2 linked regions of the Lytechinus pictus genome follow. The protein of the gene in region 1 purifies or fractionates together with the protein of each later gene. This does not show direct contact. Links are inferred from orthologs where the notes say so. Each region holds a gene or a part of one and is shown in the gene's direction. Other genes may lie near its edges.

Evidence for each region. Proteins that work in one complex are often made in the same cells at the same time.
Region 2: the proteins of ataxin-2-like (region 1) and protein LSM12 homolog B-like purify together in Homo sapiens (affinity purification with mass spectrometry; 4 studies listed by BioGRID and IntAct, with this or other methods). This does not show direct contact. The link is inferred for Lytechinus pictus from reciprocal best matches to the Homo sapiens genes ATXN2 and LSM12.

Annotation. Positions count from the first base shown.
Region 1 is NC_087246.1:36,084,931-36,092,513, reverse strand, and holds the start of ataxin-2-like, read left to right. Parts: upstream 1-4,552; 5' UTR 4,553-5,010; coding exon 5,011-5,078; intron 5,079-7,583. UniProt on the Homo sapiens protein: Involved in EGFR trafficking, acting as negative regulator of endocytic EGFR internalization at the plasma membrane.
Region 2 is NC_087257.1:24,888,701-24,896,435, forward strand, and holds the start of protein LSM12 homolog B-like, read left to right. Parts: upstream 1-4,664; 5' UTR 4,665-4,695; coding exon 4,696-4,849; intron 4,850-7,135; coding exon 7,136-7,272; intron 7,273-7,735. UniProt on the Homo sapiens protein: Nicotinic acid adenine dinucleotide phosphate (NAADP) binding protein. Confers NAADP sensitivity to the two pore channel complex (TPCs) by acting as TPC accessory protein necessary for NAADP-evoked Ca(2+) release.

The DNA of each region.
Region 1 (7,583 bases):
ATAAATGCCCCCTCTCGAACGTGTTCTGTACCCCTTTCATCAGAGAACGACCTGTTGTATGTGTTAGCAAGTTCTCGTATCATTGCCAACTGTGCCCTTGTCATGCGAGGACCCGTTTTATGTGTGAGCAAGTGCCCCTTGCCTTCTCTTATCAGTGCCCCTTTTTACCCAATAAAAGAGCCCCTCACGAATGTGTTCTCTGCATGCCCCTATAATCTGAGAAGGACCTTTTTTATGTGTTAATGAGTGCCCCTTTGAAACAAGAAAACAATATCCTCTTTACTGCTTATAATGAAGGAAAAAACTTGTAAGAATAATCCAATACGTGCCTTCAAGTTTTAAGAGTCAAGTGAGTGGGTAGATAAGCAGTGGCGTACAGATGGGGGCTTGAGGGGCTTATGCCCCCCCCCCCCCCAAAAAAAAAAAAAAAAAAAAAAAAATCACGACCAAGAAAATACAAAAGAGAAAAGCAAGAAAAGGAAAGAGAGAAGGGTGATATATAATATTTTTTTCTGAATGTTACGTCAAAATATCACAAAATTGGATTTTCGTTATAAAATGTCGATAAAATTTCCTCGCTCGCTTCGCTCGCTCGCAACTTATCAATTTTACGTGATATGATCTCTAGCCCTGTCAAAAAATTTCGCTCATTACCCCGCGTTAGATATTAAGTCTTTTTTCTTTGTTTTAAGAATATATATAAACATATATAAACATGATTAAGTGAGGCAACTCAATCTTTAGGCTACATGTATTAATAATATTGGTGAGTCAAACGTACCTCAATCATTGTAAAATTGTAATAGTAATCAATAATAATATAATGCCATCAAAAATAATCAATAGCAGTCCGAGTATGATGACCCAGACAGTGGATAGTAGGACCTAATTTCCGGAAACATATACGTAAAATTGCACATACATTATGGTCAGTTTTAAAAAAGAAAAAATGAAAATAAAAGAGATTTTAAACAAAATTCTTCCTCCTCCTCTTTCTCTTTAATTCTTCTTTCTTGCATGTCGTGTGTTTGAATTTCCTCCCCCAAAATAAAGCTTGGCATGAAAAGTTATTGACAAAAATAAAGCTTAATTCTTTTTCGATAACTATAGCCTCGGTCAGGGAAAATATGGCGCCCGAACCATTTTCTTTAAAAAAAATATAAAAAAAAGTGGAGAATGATAAAACATCAGAGCGCTTTTGACAAAAAAAAGAGAGAAAACAGATAAATCTAGACTTAATAATTTGATTTTACGGCATTAGTATTCGTGTTGGGTGAAGTCGTGAGGTAAATTTGAATAGAAAAGGCTAGGCATTTTAATGCATTGCGGGGGCTAGCTCATTGACTTGCTATACTCGCACTTTAAAGGGATGGTCCGGGCTGAAAATATTTATATTTATATCTAAATAAATAGAGTAAAATTCACAGAGCAAAATGCTGAATTAAAAAAAAAATCAAAATCGGATAACAAATAATGAAGTTATTGAATTTTAAAGTTTATCAATATTTTGTAAAAACAGTAATATGCACATCGTCATGAATATTCATTAGATGGGCTGATGATGTCACATCGCCACTTCCCTTTTTCTTATGTTTTTACATAAAATCATAATTGTTTCATTTTTTTCATACATGTGTTAATGATGTGTCTCATTATGATGAAATATAATGTTTGGTCTAATCGATTTCAAAACAATAATGAAATACTCAATAAACTGCACAAGCGTGCAGCGTATATCATATCCGGTTGCTCTTGGATGACTCCATCAGCAGTGGCGTAACTACGGGGGGCATCGGGGGCACGTGCCCCCCCAATCGGCTGGCCAAAAAAAGGGGGGAGGAGAAAAAAGAGGGAGAAAGGGAGAGAAACGTAGTGGGAAAGAAGAAATTATTGTTAATTTATAATGTTATATTACATTATAATTATATTATGTTATATTACATTAAAAAAATAATAACTTTATGAAAAATAATTTGCCCAGGGCCTATATGTCTTCATTGTTCCTGGTGCTCGCATTATCTTTTTTACGGGATTTATAATCCTGTTGTACTAAAACCTCCTGTTTTCAAGTCAATATATATACCAAATATATTTCCTCGCACTTCGAATTATTATTATTTTATATGTAGTGACATATGCTTCTTTTTCATGACTACTTAAAGTGATACCCCCATTCTGATTCATTTGCATGACACTGAGTTGTGCATATCACTTTTTTGTGAAAAATAAGCAAAACTTTAAACTGCCATAACTTTCTTATTTCATATCCGAGTTTGAGGAAATTGTCAGCATTATGCTATAAAGTTAGATTTTTCTCTATATATTCAAATCAACATTTTTATGGGGTGGACTTGACCTTTAACAAGTCCCTTTTCAAGTCAGTAGTGCCTTTACATTGAAAAAAATTAGCTCACGCTTCTCGCTCGAGTTTGTGAAACATATATATAGGCAAAACTAGTGTGTTGCCCCCACGGGCGTAAATCCCGGGGGATGGGGGATACATCCCCCCACTTTTCGGAGAGGGGGGGGGGGGGGGTGGCATGTCCAATCATCCCCCCTTTCAAGATAGAAAAAAACAATTTTTTAAATCATCAAATGGTTAATACTACTGTTAATGTGTTGATTTATCTTCAAATGCTAACAAAGTGCTTAAATTGGCCTACTTTTGCATTAAAAAATTGCGAAGATTTCTCGCACGGTCGCGTTCAATCGATTCTTACAAGACTTTGGTCGTGACAAATCACTATAGCAAAGGTTATATCCACTGCATCATGGGAGTATAGTTATAATTAGTCCATTTATGAATATGTGATTCCAATTACTTTTAAATATGATTATAACTTATCATAACGAATCCAAATATCCTCTCGTGAATATGGGGGGGGGGGGTCATCTGGTATCTTTGTGGAAGCGGGGGATTTTGTTAAAAAATATTTGGCTTACCGTATTCTTCAAGTTAAGCGTACGATGAGTCACTGAAAACACTGATCAGATCAATGCCGTTAATGAAACACTATAGAACTATTTGCTCAAAATATCAAATGTTGCATCATCTCCCAATATAAGATTATTCGAAATCTTTCCATTTCATATACAATTTCATTGTGATATACCCTTTTTAAAGTTTATATATTGTATCCTGTGATGGCCTATGATCATTTTATAATAATATGACACCCTTATTCCCGATAATCATGATCTTATTTTTGTTATCTTTCTCATCTCACTTTAAACAATGAGCAAATGAGTTTTCATAGAACAAAACTTGACTATTTAATCCCTATTTTCTCTTTTTATATTTCTTGTTCAAAAGTTTATATTATTGATAATACCTTTGTCATCATCATTTTAAACGACTGAAGCAATTTTTTAACGCTCGATCGCTAACTACGCTCATCGTTGCAATTTCTCCCATAATTACACTCCTTGAAATACGACTTGGTCATCATTCTGTCTTCCAAATATGGAAAATTTGCTAAGTGCTTCGCTCGCTCGCATTTGGATACTTCTGTAATCCATTCGTCACAACGAATCCATAACAATATAGCCATCGAAACAAAAAAGACACCGTGATAGTCCTTCAAGTGAAAAATGGTATTATCCACGCAGTTATATACCCCCTGTACATATAACCATGATGTGCTAATTATTACATACCACTTAAGGTTTTGGGGGGCATACTTCTTTCTTCCACCTATTGAAAATTTGCTCGCTCGCTATGCTCACTCTAAGTGCAATAAGCAGTCCTCAACAGGTACTTTTTCGATCAGTTCAAAACGTACATAAAAAATTTCTGCTCGCGCTTTGCGCTCGCATTATTAATGTAAGTAAGAGCACCAATTACTCATGATTTGCAAATGAAGAATAGAGTGTCTCGTTTTTAGGTCTAAATCTAGAAATTTTCCGCTCTCATCGATTGTTATACCTATTCTATTTAAGTTACAAAAAGTGCTCAGAATTTCCATTCTTAAGGTAAAAATGTCAAAAATACTAAGTTAGATTCTCATGCATGAAAAGGTGATTTTCTTTTCTCGCTCGCTCTTCTTCTTCTTCTCTATAAGTACAGGCCACCGTCTGGCGTATTGTACTGTGCTCGGGACTTATATACCGGGCTTATATAGCAACATTTTGCCGCACGCGCCATGATGTGCCCCCTCTTTTTTGTACTTATCACACATTGAGCTTCGCCCTAATGCTCGGGCACAACCATCAAAATCCATTTCATGACCGGGAAATTTTGGGCTCTTGGTCCCGCCTGGCCATCACCGACCCCTGTTACGCCCCTGCCTATAGGCATACAATAGAACTTTTACTGTGCCAGCTTCATAATACTTAACTGGAATGATTTGCCACTCATAACAATAAAGTTTCGATCAATTACAATTTTGGGGAAAGCATTAAAACCCATCCCTTTAATATGACTGTCAAGATAAAGGTCATAATTATGGGAAAATCACAGTGTAAAATAATAATTTCTAAATTAAAAGACCCAGTTCTAAAATAGGTCATGGTAACCCCTTTTGATATGTCTGACTGCGCGCCGAGGCGTATTGCACTACAATGATAGTAAAAAGTGCGCTATGAAATATAGTTCTTATTCATATCGATCGTTCTGTATCTTAAAGATACAGTGAATCTCAGTTCAAACGAAATTAATTTCAATCGATGATTGATAGCTAATAAATATATATGCAAGACATTTAATCCCTTAAAAAAGATTTTTAATCTTTCCTTTTACACTTGCGTCCACTATCAACTTTACAAAATTAGTGCGCCAGCTGCCGTAGTAACTTTCTCACGCAGTGGAACCTGAAAATCAGGACATTTTTCGATATTGTACCTCGAATTTGTATCCTATTGGAAATATTATTGTTTGATTGTAAACAGTATCACCTGACCAATCGGAAAATTATCGATATGAGGGACTGATTTTGTTGATTTCTTCGGAATTCTACCTTCTTTCGAAAGATTTTAGCCGCGTACGTGCGCTAGTTTCACACCGGTATCATAATGAATAGTAGGCGATCTACCCGTGACCGCGACCGAGTCGTGAAAACGAACAGTAGTAACACCGGCAGGTCAGTAAAATGTTGAAAATTGTGATTATGTTGTGATTTGATGATGAAATAGTTTAACAGTGGTGATCTTTGTGAATTATGCAAGGAGGTGAAAACTAGTAATTTGTATGTTTTTATCTGGAACTAGTGTTTTATCATGGCCGATTGTTTGTAAACAGACGGGTGGTTGTGGCATCTCGGACTCATTTTTTTGCTATTGAAAAGTGTGTGCATGCTACATCATGTAGACTCTCTGTATCGATGGCGGCGGTATATTGCTAACTCTCTCTCTCTCTTAGGTGATCCCTCCACTGTTTTGGAGATTCTAAGATACGATTAGAACAAATCCCAGTCCGGTAAATTACAGATTCAGCATCAAGTTGGAGCGGTAGTCATGAATTTTATGTAGAAAAAAGAGGGATTTAAGGAGCAGCATGTATGATATATGGTGGTCCACAAAAAAGGCACTAGTCTGTGCACCTAAAAACAATTTGATTTTGAGTTAAGATATAACAAGGCTCCATATTAACTTTTTTTTGGTGGTGGCCCATTCGGGCCACCAAAACCTTCATATAATTTTTTTGGTGGCCCGAAAAATATATAGAAAAACATTAAAAATGAAAAAAACAAGTTTCTGATATATTAATTCTGTACTGTAGCCACAACTTGCACAAGTACTAACTACAACAACTACAAGTACAACTCACAAGTAACACTACTGTACAGTAGAGAGGTGCACGACCAATATGGGAGACTCTCCAATAGGGGAGACAATCTCCCATATTGGTGACTTGCTTTGCAAAAGGACAAAAGAAACGACACCAACAAGAGCATAATTTTTTCCACCCCAAATTTTTGTCTCGCTGAGGTCAGCTCAGAAGCCCATTTGTTTTGTGTGCGGATGACAACAAAAATCCTTAAAAGTTAAAACAAAAGTACAAAGTAGATGGTGAATTTTCAAAGTAGACGGTGAATTTTCAAAGTAGACGGTGAAAAGGGGAGATTTTTCATGAGGAATCTGCTTATCATATTTTTATTTGCTGCCAAGTTAATCCTTTTGCAGCAAATGTAAACAAAGGAAATTGGTCTCCCAAACTGGAGACCGTCTCGGAAATAGGATACCCAAATTCTTTACAAAAGTCTCTGATATTGGAGACAACCTCCCACATGGGAGACAGTCTCCCATATTGGCCGTGCGCCTCTACTGACTAAGTTACTTTCACTTTGTATGGTAGGGGGCCCTAAAGCTATGCACCACTCATATCATCGCGCATGCAGTTTTTTCTACAGAGGCTGCAGTAAATCTCTAAATGTAGAGAAAACCCACAACTGTTTGGAATTTTTGAGTTATATTTGCTTTAATTTCATATTATTCTATAATAATATGAATATATTTTAGAAATTGAGACACAGGAAATACTATTTTTGTGTATGACAAATCGAGTGCCTAGCTTTAGGACCCCTTCGACATTGGGCGGCGAAATCAAGAGGTGTTCGGAAAACACGGCGGGATTTTCATATTAGTGAGTTTTGTGATATATTCTTCTTGGTTAATGATCTTTGGAATGTTAACCACAATTAAGTGAAAAATAATTTGTTCAAATATTAAAATTGGCATAGTTTTTATTGTTTGTAAACAAAGTGCGTAGCTTTAGGTCCCCCCATCATACATCTTGTATGTAAACCTTGTTTGCTGTTATTTTACTTTGCAAATTGATTTGTGGTAAAATATAAATTGTTCTATCATTGTAAATATGAAATGATTGAAAGAGAATTGAAAGAATTGTATTGTTCCCAGGTTGTGTGGACTTTTTTTTAATCTCCTTAAACACACGCACTCATAATGGTAAAGTAAATAAATAATGCATAACAAACTGGGATAGATGTACATCAAGGCTCCATATTAACTTTTTTTGGTGGTGGCCTGTTCGGGCCACCAAAACCTTCAAATAATTTTTTTTGGTGGCCCGATGTTAAAGTTTGGTGGCCCGAAAAATATAAAGAAAAACATTAATTAAAAATGAATAAAACAAACTTTTGAAATATTAATTCTGCAGCCACTACCACTAAGTTACTTTCAATTTGTACATCTTGTATGTAAATCTTGTTTGCTGTTATTTTACTTTGCTAATTGATTTGTGGTAATATATAAATCGTTCTATCATTGTAAATATGAAATGATTGAAAGAGAATAAAAGAAATGTATTGTTCCCAGGTTGTGTGGACTTAAAAAAAAATCTCTGTATAGACACACACTCATAATGGTAAAGTAAATAAATAGTGCATAGCAAACTCAGATAGATGTACAAAACAATGATTTTTCCTTTCTTCCTTTTTGAATCCTAAAACCGAGATTATGTAGGCCCCAAATCCAGTTTATTTTCTCTTTTCCAGCATATTATAGCAGGAGAAAATCACAGAAAAATATGCTGCAAAAATTAAAATAATGCATAAAAGGGGGAAACAAACAAAAACAATTTTTAGAATAGTATATTAAAAGAAAACAAAAATAATAAAATAAATAAG
Region 2 (7,735 bases), on another chromosome or scaffold:
GTAAGTCCCAAATGCGCGCTGTTGATTGGTTGAAAATCAAGTTGCGAATGATTTTTAGAGTTGCAATTGATTGCAACTCTTTCTGCAATGGGCCCCAGAAAGCTATTATATATTGTTTTGCTCGAGCGTTCTGATCATTCATGCTATTTTACTCCGATGGGTCTGTTTTTAAGACTATTTTACGAGAGCGGTATAAACACAAAAAAGGAGAAAATACACTTTTTTATTGGAACTGACTGATTTTACAATACCACCTTTCCACTCATTCACATCATTACAATCTGCACCAATTAAGTTGGTATGGTTTTAATTCGTCATATTCCAACCGCATTTACTTATTTTATTAGTAGTGGATGAAGTAATTTTGCACGTGAGAGTATTTTTTTCCGACATGAAATAATCTTGCAGCACTATTCAAATGTTTATCACGTATAGTATTATGATCCCATAGAGATATCAAGCCGTATTGAAGAAATATGTTAATGCCCTACATTAATTATGTTCATGGTAAGATTTTTGCTGTATTTAGGCAATTTATGCTCTTTTAGAAATTAAGATTTTCTTACGTGGAAGAGACGAGTTTTAATCGCAAAAATTGTTCAAGAGTGTTCCTGCCCGCAGCAAGAAGTCAGTCCTTTTGACAAGAAAGGAGGTTATGAACATGGCGTTATCCCTCATAGCCTCCAGCACTGCCTCCCTCTTGCGGTGGATTTTAGTTAATCTCTTCGTCATTATTTTTGTTCAGTAGCAGACCGCGGAGGGAGGGTGGGGAGAGAGGGGGAATTACGGGTAAGGCTATTAAAAACCGCAAAATATTAAAGAACTATGGCAGCGGTTCAATTTCGGTGTATAGCTCTATCCAATAACGAAAACCACAAAACCTATTCTTTTGTTGTTGATCGCTTTTATCGGCTTTATTTGGCTAGTGAGGAATTTCAAATCCTACTTTATGTTTTATTTTTATTCATGTTAAATCCTACTTTATTAAAGGAGAATGAAACCCTTGAAACCAGCTGAATCCATATCAAAGAGAAAAATCAAAGAAACATATTGTTGAAAGTTTGCGGAAGATTGAATGAATAATAAGAAAGTTATGAGCATTCGAATATTGAGATCACTAGTGCCATGTAGATCCTCCCAACGGCAATGCGACCAAGATCTGTGATATCACACACGTACAACTCCCTCATTACTTTAGTACTTATTTCACTTATATTCTCACTTTTATAGAGTCTATCACAAGGTGAGGTGTTCTCTTTATGAGATGACAAGTACAGAGGTTTCACAACATTATATCATTGATGAATCGTTTGTCATATGATTAGAATGAGCAAAAAGAGATGTTTTGGGGTATATTTTCAGTGTCCAAATGGGAGAGTTGTACGTGTGTGACATCACAAATCTTGGTCGCATTGTCAATGGGAGGATCTCCATAGCATTAGTGATCTCGACATTCAAATGCTCATAACTATTTTATTGCTAGTCCTATTTTACTCAAAGTTTTGTTGATCTTATTCTTTGATTTTTCTGCTTTCACAAAAGCTAACTTGCTCCAAGAGTTTCATTCTCCTTTAATGTATGTATATTAACGTTTTCCTTTAAAAACAACTTTCTTCTCTCGTTGGGAAGGCGTTCTACGCCTTTATCCACCTCCTACCTCTCTCTCTCTCTTTACCCCCCTCCCCCGCTCCAATAGTCTCCCACATCCCACTCTCTCTTGCACAACTCTCTTCGTCCTTCCCATTCCCTCCTATATAATCTCTTATTTATGCATATAAACATTGAAATATTGAATTAAACTTGATTGACTGTGATCTTCTAACCAAAATTATTAACTCGATATTATTTACAACAGAAATCGTCGACTCGGTCCGACTGGAAAAGAATTTCCATCACCCCCCCCCCCCCCGCACATGCCCTTTGACCTACTGTGTTTATGGCCCGATATTCCTTAACAAAAAGGGACAGGGTCACTCATGGGGTGAAAGTTGAATAGTGAACACGTCACAAACAAAAGCATCTCACTGGGAAACGTCGAGAGTCACTCCGCTCATGACGGAAAACGGGACAACAGTTGCTCGCTCGCGCGCGACAACAATATTTTTGTTCAGGTCGTGCGGACTGTTTGGTAATAATAACGCATCAGGTCGATCTTTTAAAAGGTGTTAATATTGATTTTGCTTATTCATGTTAATTTGTACCGTTTTTATAAGGATGCATGAGGGAATGTTTAAAGGTGTGGAAATTCATTTAATGAATCCAGGAAGTTTTTTGGTAGGGGTTTTGTTTTATTAATATAGTTGGGGGCATAAATATATAAACGTCCTGAAGGTGAAGTCCAGTTCTTCTCTTTTATATAACACTTCTTTAATTGTTTCGTGACATTTTGTCCCCTTTTCTTTCCTTTATATTCACTTTTCCTCTTATTTCTCTTGTTAAAAAACTAAAGAGTAGCCTCTCCCTGTAAGCACCGACCCTGAACACTAGTACTCATAAAGTATTATTTAGATGCGGGGAATATAATGATACCTCATTTTAGAACAAGTTTGTGAAAAAGTTGATTATTTTGTGCAAGATTACACATTCGTAAGTTCGCTAAATAATTACAATAATAAGTTTTCTTCTTATTCGTCGCGCTTGGGCGTCTGATCAGCAGTAAGCATAATGGAGACTGAATAAGTCATAAAAAGAATCATGAGAATCGCCTAAGAATTCCGCCATCCCGTTAAAGTGATAACAATATTTTAGCAGGTTAATTGGAGGCTGTTTACTTTTCAAAATGGTCATTATATTCAACTTTCATCTCTGGTGAATGTAAATATTGGTTAACTCCAAATAAAACTGAACAATATTTTAAACCATTATGTATATTTTCCGGAAAAATAACTTTGTTATTATGTTTGTATATCTTTTTTCTGCTAAAGACGATAGCAATATGGTTGCCCGATGAATTGAACCGGTCCAATTTTCCCTACAGTGTTCTGTAAATAGCCTAAATGTGGCCATTTTCTCGGTAAATTAAAAATTCCATTGTCAAAACGTCATAAACCACCTGCAAAATTATTGGAAGTAATCGGGGACAACCGCCCAATATTTTCATGGTTAGTGGAAAGATACACACCAAATGGCAAGTTAGGGTTCTCATCGACGTCAAAATATTTGCTCCAAAAATTGCCCCGGTTTGATGAAGAATAAAAAGCGAGGCATAACTTGCGGGCATTGTGAGTGAAAACATTCGGGGCGTGAGGGGCATTCATTCTCCCTTGATTGTGGTGCAAGAGTTTCCGATTCGAGAAATAATAGTCATAATTTTATTCTCGTTTAAAATGGTGGGGTTTGTTCATAATTTTGCAAAGGAAACACCCCCAGGACAGGTGCCTATGTAGGACAGGTTCACACTGCAAGGACAGTCATATAGTATATCAAAGCAATTATTGATTATCAAGGTTCACATGGTTCAATACAAAACCGGTCCTTTGCTATAATTTAGCTCTATTAAAAATAGTTTTGAGCAACACTGAAATACATCTATAATGAATCATTGCTGATGTGAATGAATGTCAAATGGCGTTTCTCATAATTATGTTCTAAGCTTCATATATACATGTAGTTATATCATTTCTACAGTTCATTTAACAAATCTGTCGAAAAAATGTTTGTTTGCTTTCGTCTCCGAACCAGATAAAAAAAATACAAGAAAGGACATAATGTGAGAAAAAAAAAAACATAACAAGCGGAGGATAGCCAACATAGAGCAACGTCAATAAAAATACCCTGTTCTCATCGGGGTCCTGTTGCAGACAGAGTTGCGTTGAAACAAAAGCCCAAAAATCATTCGCAGGTCCCAAATGCGCGCTGTTGATTGGTTGAAAATCAAGTTGCGCATGATTTTTAGAGTTGCAATTGGTTGCAACTCTTTCTGATCTTTCTGATCATTCACTGAATGAAAAATGGTGGTGATTAATCATAAAGCAGGGTAGGATAAGGAGGGGGGGGGGCGCTTTGTAAAAATACAATTTTACATGTTCTGTTAAATATCCTCATCCTTCTGTGTGTTTTTTTTTTTTTTTTGTCACCATTTTTTATTTGATTATTTTTTGTATTGTAGTGCATCTCTTTCTTGTAGGGCAACTTCCATTGCGGTTATCAGATTTCTTAGATCCGATCGAGTCTTTTTTTTTTGGAATGAGCACATTTTGTTGTTTGTTTGTCATGATTTCTCTCAAGAAATCTATCCTCATCTAATCATAATAATATATCATCATCATCATCATCGCCATCATCATCATCGCTATCACCACTACCATCACCACCATCATTATCATCATCATCATCATCATCATCATCGTTATTATCATCCTCCATCTCATCATCGGCATCATCGCTATCACAACCACCACCAACACCATCATCATCATCATCGCCATCATCATCATCGCTATCACCACCACCATCACCACCATGATCATCATCCATCATCAACATCATCGTCCACTTTCATCATCGATATTGTCATCCTCCTCCTCATCATTATCGCTATCACCACCACCACCATCATCATCATCATCATTATCAATGCAGTACGTACACCTATGAAAACGAGTTTAAGCCGTTCATTCACGACGCCATCTCCCGTCCATAATAGGAATACAATAACAATAATATTGCGCATGCGCAGATTGTACATCGCAGAACATGATTATTTTCAACATGGCAGCCGGGTCCGCTGGGGAACCGGGACCTCCACCGTGCAAAGTCGGCGACATCGTTTCCTGTAAGACATGTCTGGAGGCTAAAATTGAAGGAGAAGTGTTGGCTTATGATTCCAATAGTCGACTACTTGCCATAAGTATCCTTTTGAATGCAAAATATGTTGTTGAAGAGACATGAGCATGATGAGTAGAGAAAGCCATGGCATGATGACCGATGACCACGGTCCACAGCACAGGCACAGCCAACCACCACTCACTCGTGTGACTGTGAATGTGAACTGACTATACTCTAAGGATGGGGGATCGGGTGTCCGGACACTTTATATTTTTGAAGCCTTCTTTTTTGTCTTAAGATTACACTAAAAATATGAATTCAATAGTTGTAATCATCTTCTATTTTGTTCTCTATAATATTTTCTAAAATTTTGTACTAAAAATTGATGAAACTTCGCTTGTAAATTTTTCCAAATGACTTTCTAAAATTGATCGTCGGGACACACAACCTGTCCGGACACACAACAAGTGGGTATACTGAGTGAGCTAGCCTATGGCTATGGGAGTATGGCTGAGCGCGCCAGCGCTACACTACACGAGTGAGAGTGGCTGTAGGATGTTCGATGTGGTCGTGGCTATGTCATGGTGGCATGATTGATGGTGATGTATGGTGGTAAGGCGCTAATGCAGTTTCGCATCGGCCGATTACCAGCATACCTCATCACCAATACTTGTTCCCAAATGTCATGACAAGTCAGTCACATTTCGAGGTCAAGACAATATACCTAGCCAGGCGGCTTCTAGAGAGTAAAAATCATTTACTAACGTAAGGTCACTCTCATACGAAGCCAGGGCTTACGTCATATACTTTTGCGTGTAATCGGCCGGTGGGAAACTGCATTAGCGCTTGTCTGCGCATATCTGCGTGATTTCTAGTAAAAGAAGACACGAGACTACCACAAAGTAAACTTTCATAGCCAATACTTATCTGAGCTGACTCAAAATGGTGGAAATATAATGAATTTCGAGCATTTCATGTGATGACCTCAAAATGCAGCCCTTTCATCAAAATCCCTGAATCGTGTCTAACGTGAATGGGTCACATGCGTAGCCAGGAGGAGGCTCCTCGAGAGTAAAAATCATTCAACTAACGTGTGCTTACTCTCCTCGGAGCCAGGGGTTGTGCCCCATTTATAGGCGTACATCGCGGTCAATGATGCAATTTTCGCCCTCGAGATTTCTACTTTCCCTGTTAAAAGATCTAGCCCTAAATCGTGTAAATGGGCTAGAACTTCATTTCCAACATTTATAGAATATACCGGTATATAGAGAATATTTACATGTACACACTACACTCTAATATTCATGACTTGATCTCATTGGACATAGCCTAGCTAGTGAACAGCTAGAGCTCTATCTTTGATGTTGATGTCGGTCAAACTTGCTCTAACTCGGTCTTTGACACAGTTTTGATGTTGACTGAAATTAGCAATCAAAATTAATGCTTGCACAGCTGGTAGAGTTTTTAAGAAATAGGGGATAAAATTTTACTGATATTTAGCTCCAATATTGCGAATGTGAACTATATTTTTTTCTGCAAAATTTGTTTTAAAGAATTGTAAAACGTGCAGAAGGAGCAATGTGAAAGACTCTGTATGCACCTTTACGAGTGGTTGCTCAGTAGAACCAGAAGTATATAACTTTTCGGACATCCGACCGTTACGAATCAAATTGTGGCAGGACTCCTCCATTGCCCATTCTTTAAAGGTCAAATCCACCCCAGAAAAGAGTTGATTTAAATAAATAGAGAAAAATCAAACATGAATAACGCTGAAAACTTCATCAAAATCGGATGTAAAATAAGAAAGTTATGACATTTTAAAGTTTCGCTTATTTTTCACAATACGGTTCTATGCTCAACTCAGTGATATGCAAATGAGAGAGTCGATGATGTCACTCACTCACTATTTCTTTTGTTTTTTAATGTTTGAATTATACAATATTTCGATTTTCACGAATTTGACAATTAGGACCCCCTTGCTTGAACCACAAAATGTTAAAATAATGGAATTCCACGTGTTCAGGGAGGAATGAAACTTTGTTCACATGACAATGACGAGAAAATCAAAATATTTCATATAATAAAATACAAAAGAAATAGTGAGTGGGTCATGTCATCGGTCCCCTCATTTGCATACCGAACAGTATGTGCATATAACTGTTTTGAGAAAATAGGCAAAACTTTAAAATGTTGTAACTTTCTTATTTTACATCCGATTTTGAAGAAATATTCAGTGTTATGCTTGTTTTATTTTCCTCTTTCTATTCCAATCAGCTTTTTGTTGGGGTGGACTTGTCCTTTAAAATCTAATCAAGCTTTAGAATATTTTTGTATCTTCATCTTCCTTAATGACAAACTTCAACTTCAGAAAAACCGCCCACCTCCAGCGAAAAGAAGAGCTTGTGCGATATTTGCATTGTGAACCTCAATCTAGTGAGCGATTTCCAGATCAAGCATGAGAATGCTGAACCACCCAGAGAACCGCCCTCTCTTGATGCCAACAAGGTAATGATGCTGTATTGATTGATAACTTGTGGGCTGTTTCTTGATTCATGGATGTCCACTCATTAATTTCTGTTAAGAGAGCCTAAATGGCTAGGCCTACACTTGATTCAATATTACTAATAATTACTAGTAATCCTTTTACATGGTGTTGAGTACATTGGAATCGTATATCTTTGTAATATAAGATACAGATTTAATTTTACCCCTTACATGATCAGATTTTTGCTTACCCACCCATGCTTTCTCCACTCCCTGGGTAGCATTTCAGCGAGAATGCCCAAACTCAAGTGCAAGATGCACTACATTTGCTTGTATAACTTAATTGGTACCTGTAACTGGCAAAGTGTACATTTGTTGATTGAAGCCTTGACAGAGGAGTTGGTGCTGAGTTGGGATAAGAAGACTCGACCACCTGATTTCTAGGGGAAATTCAGAATTACCACACCACAATGCTTCTCAATCT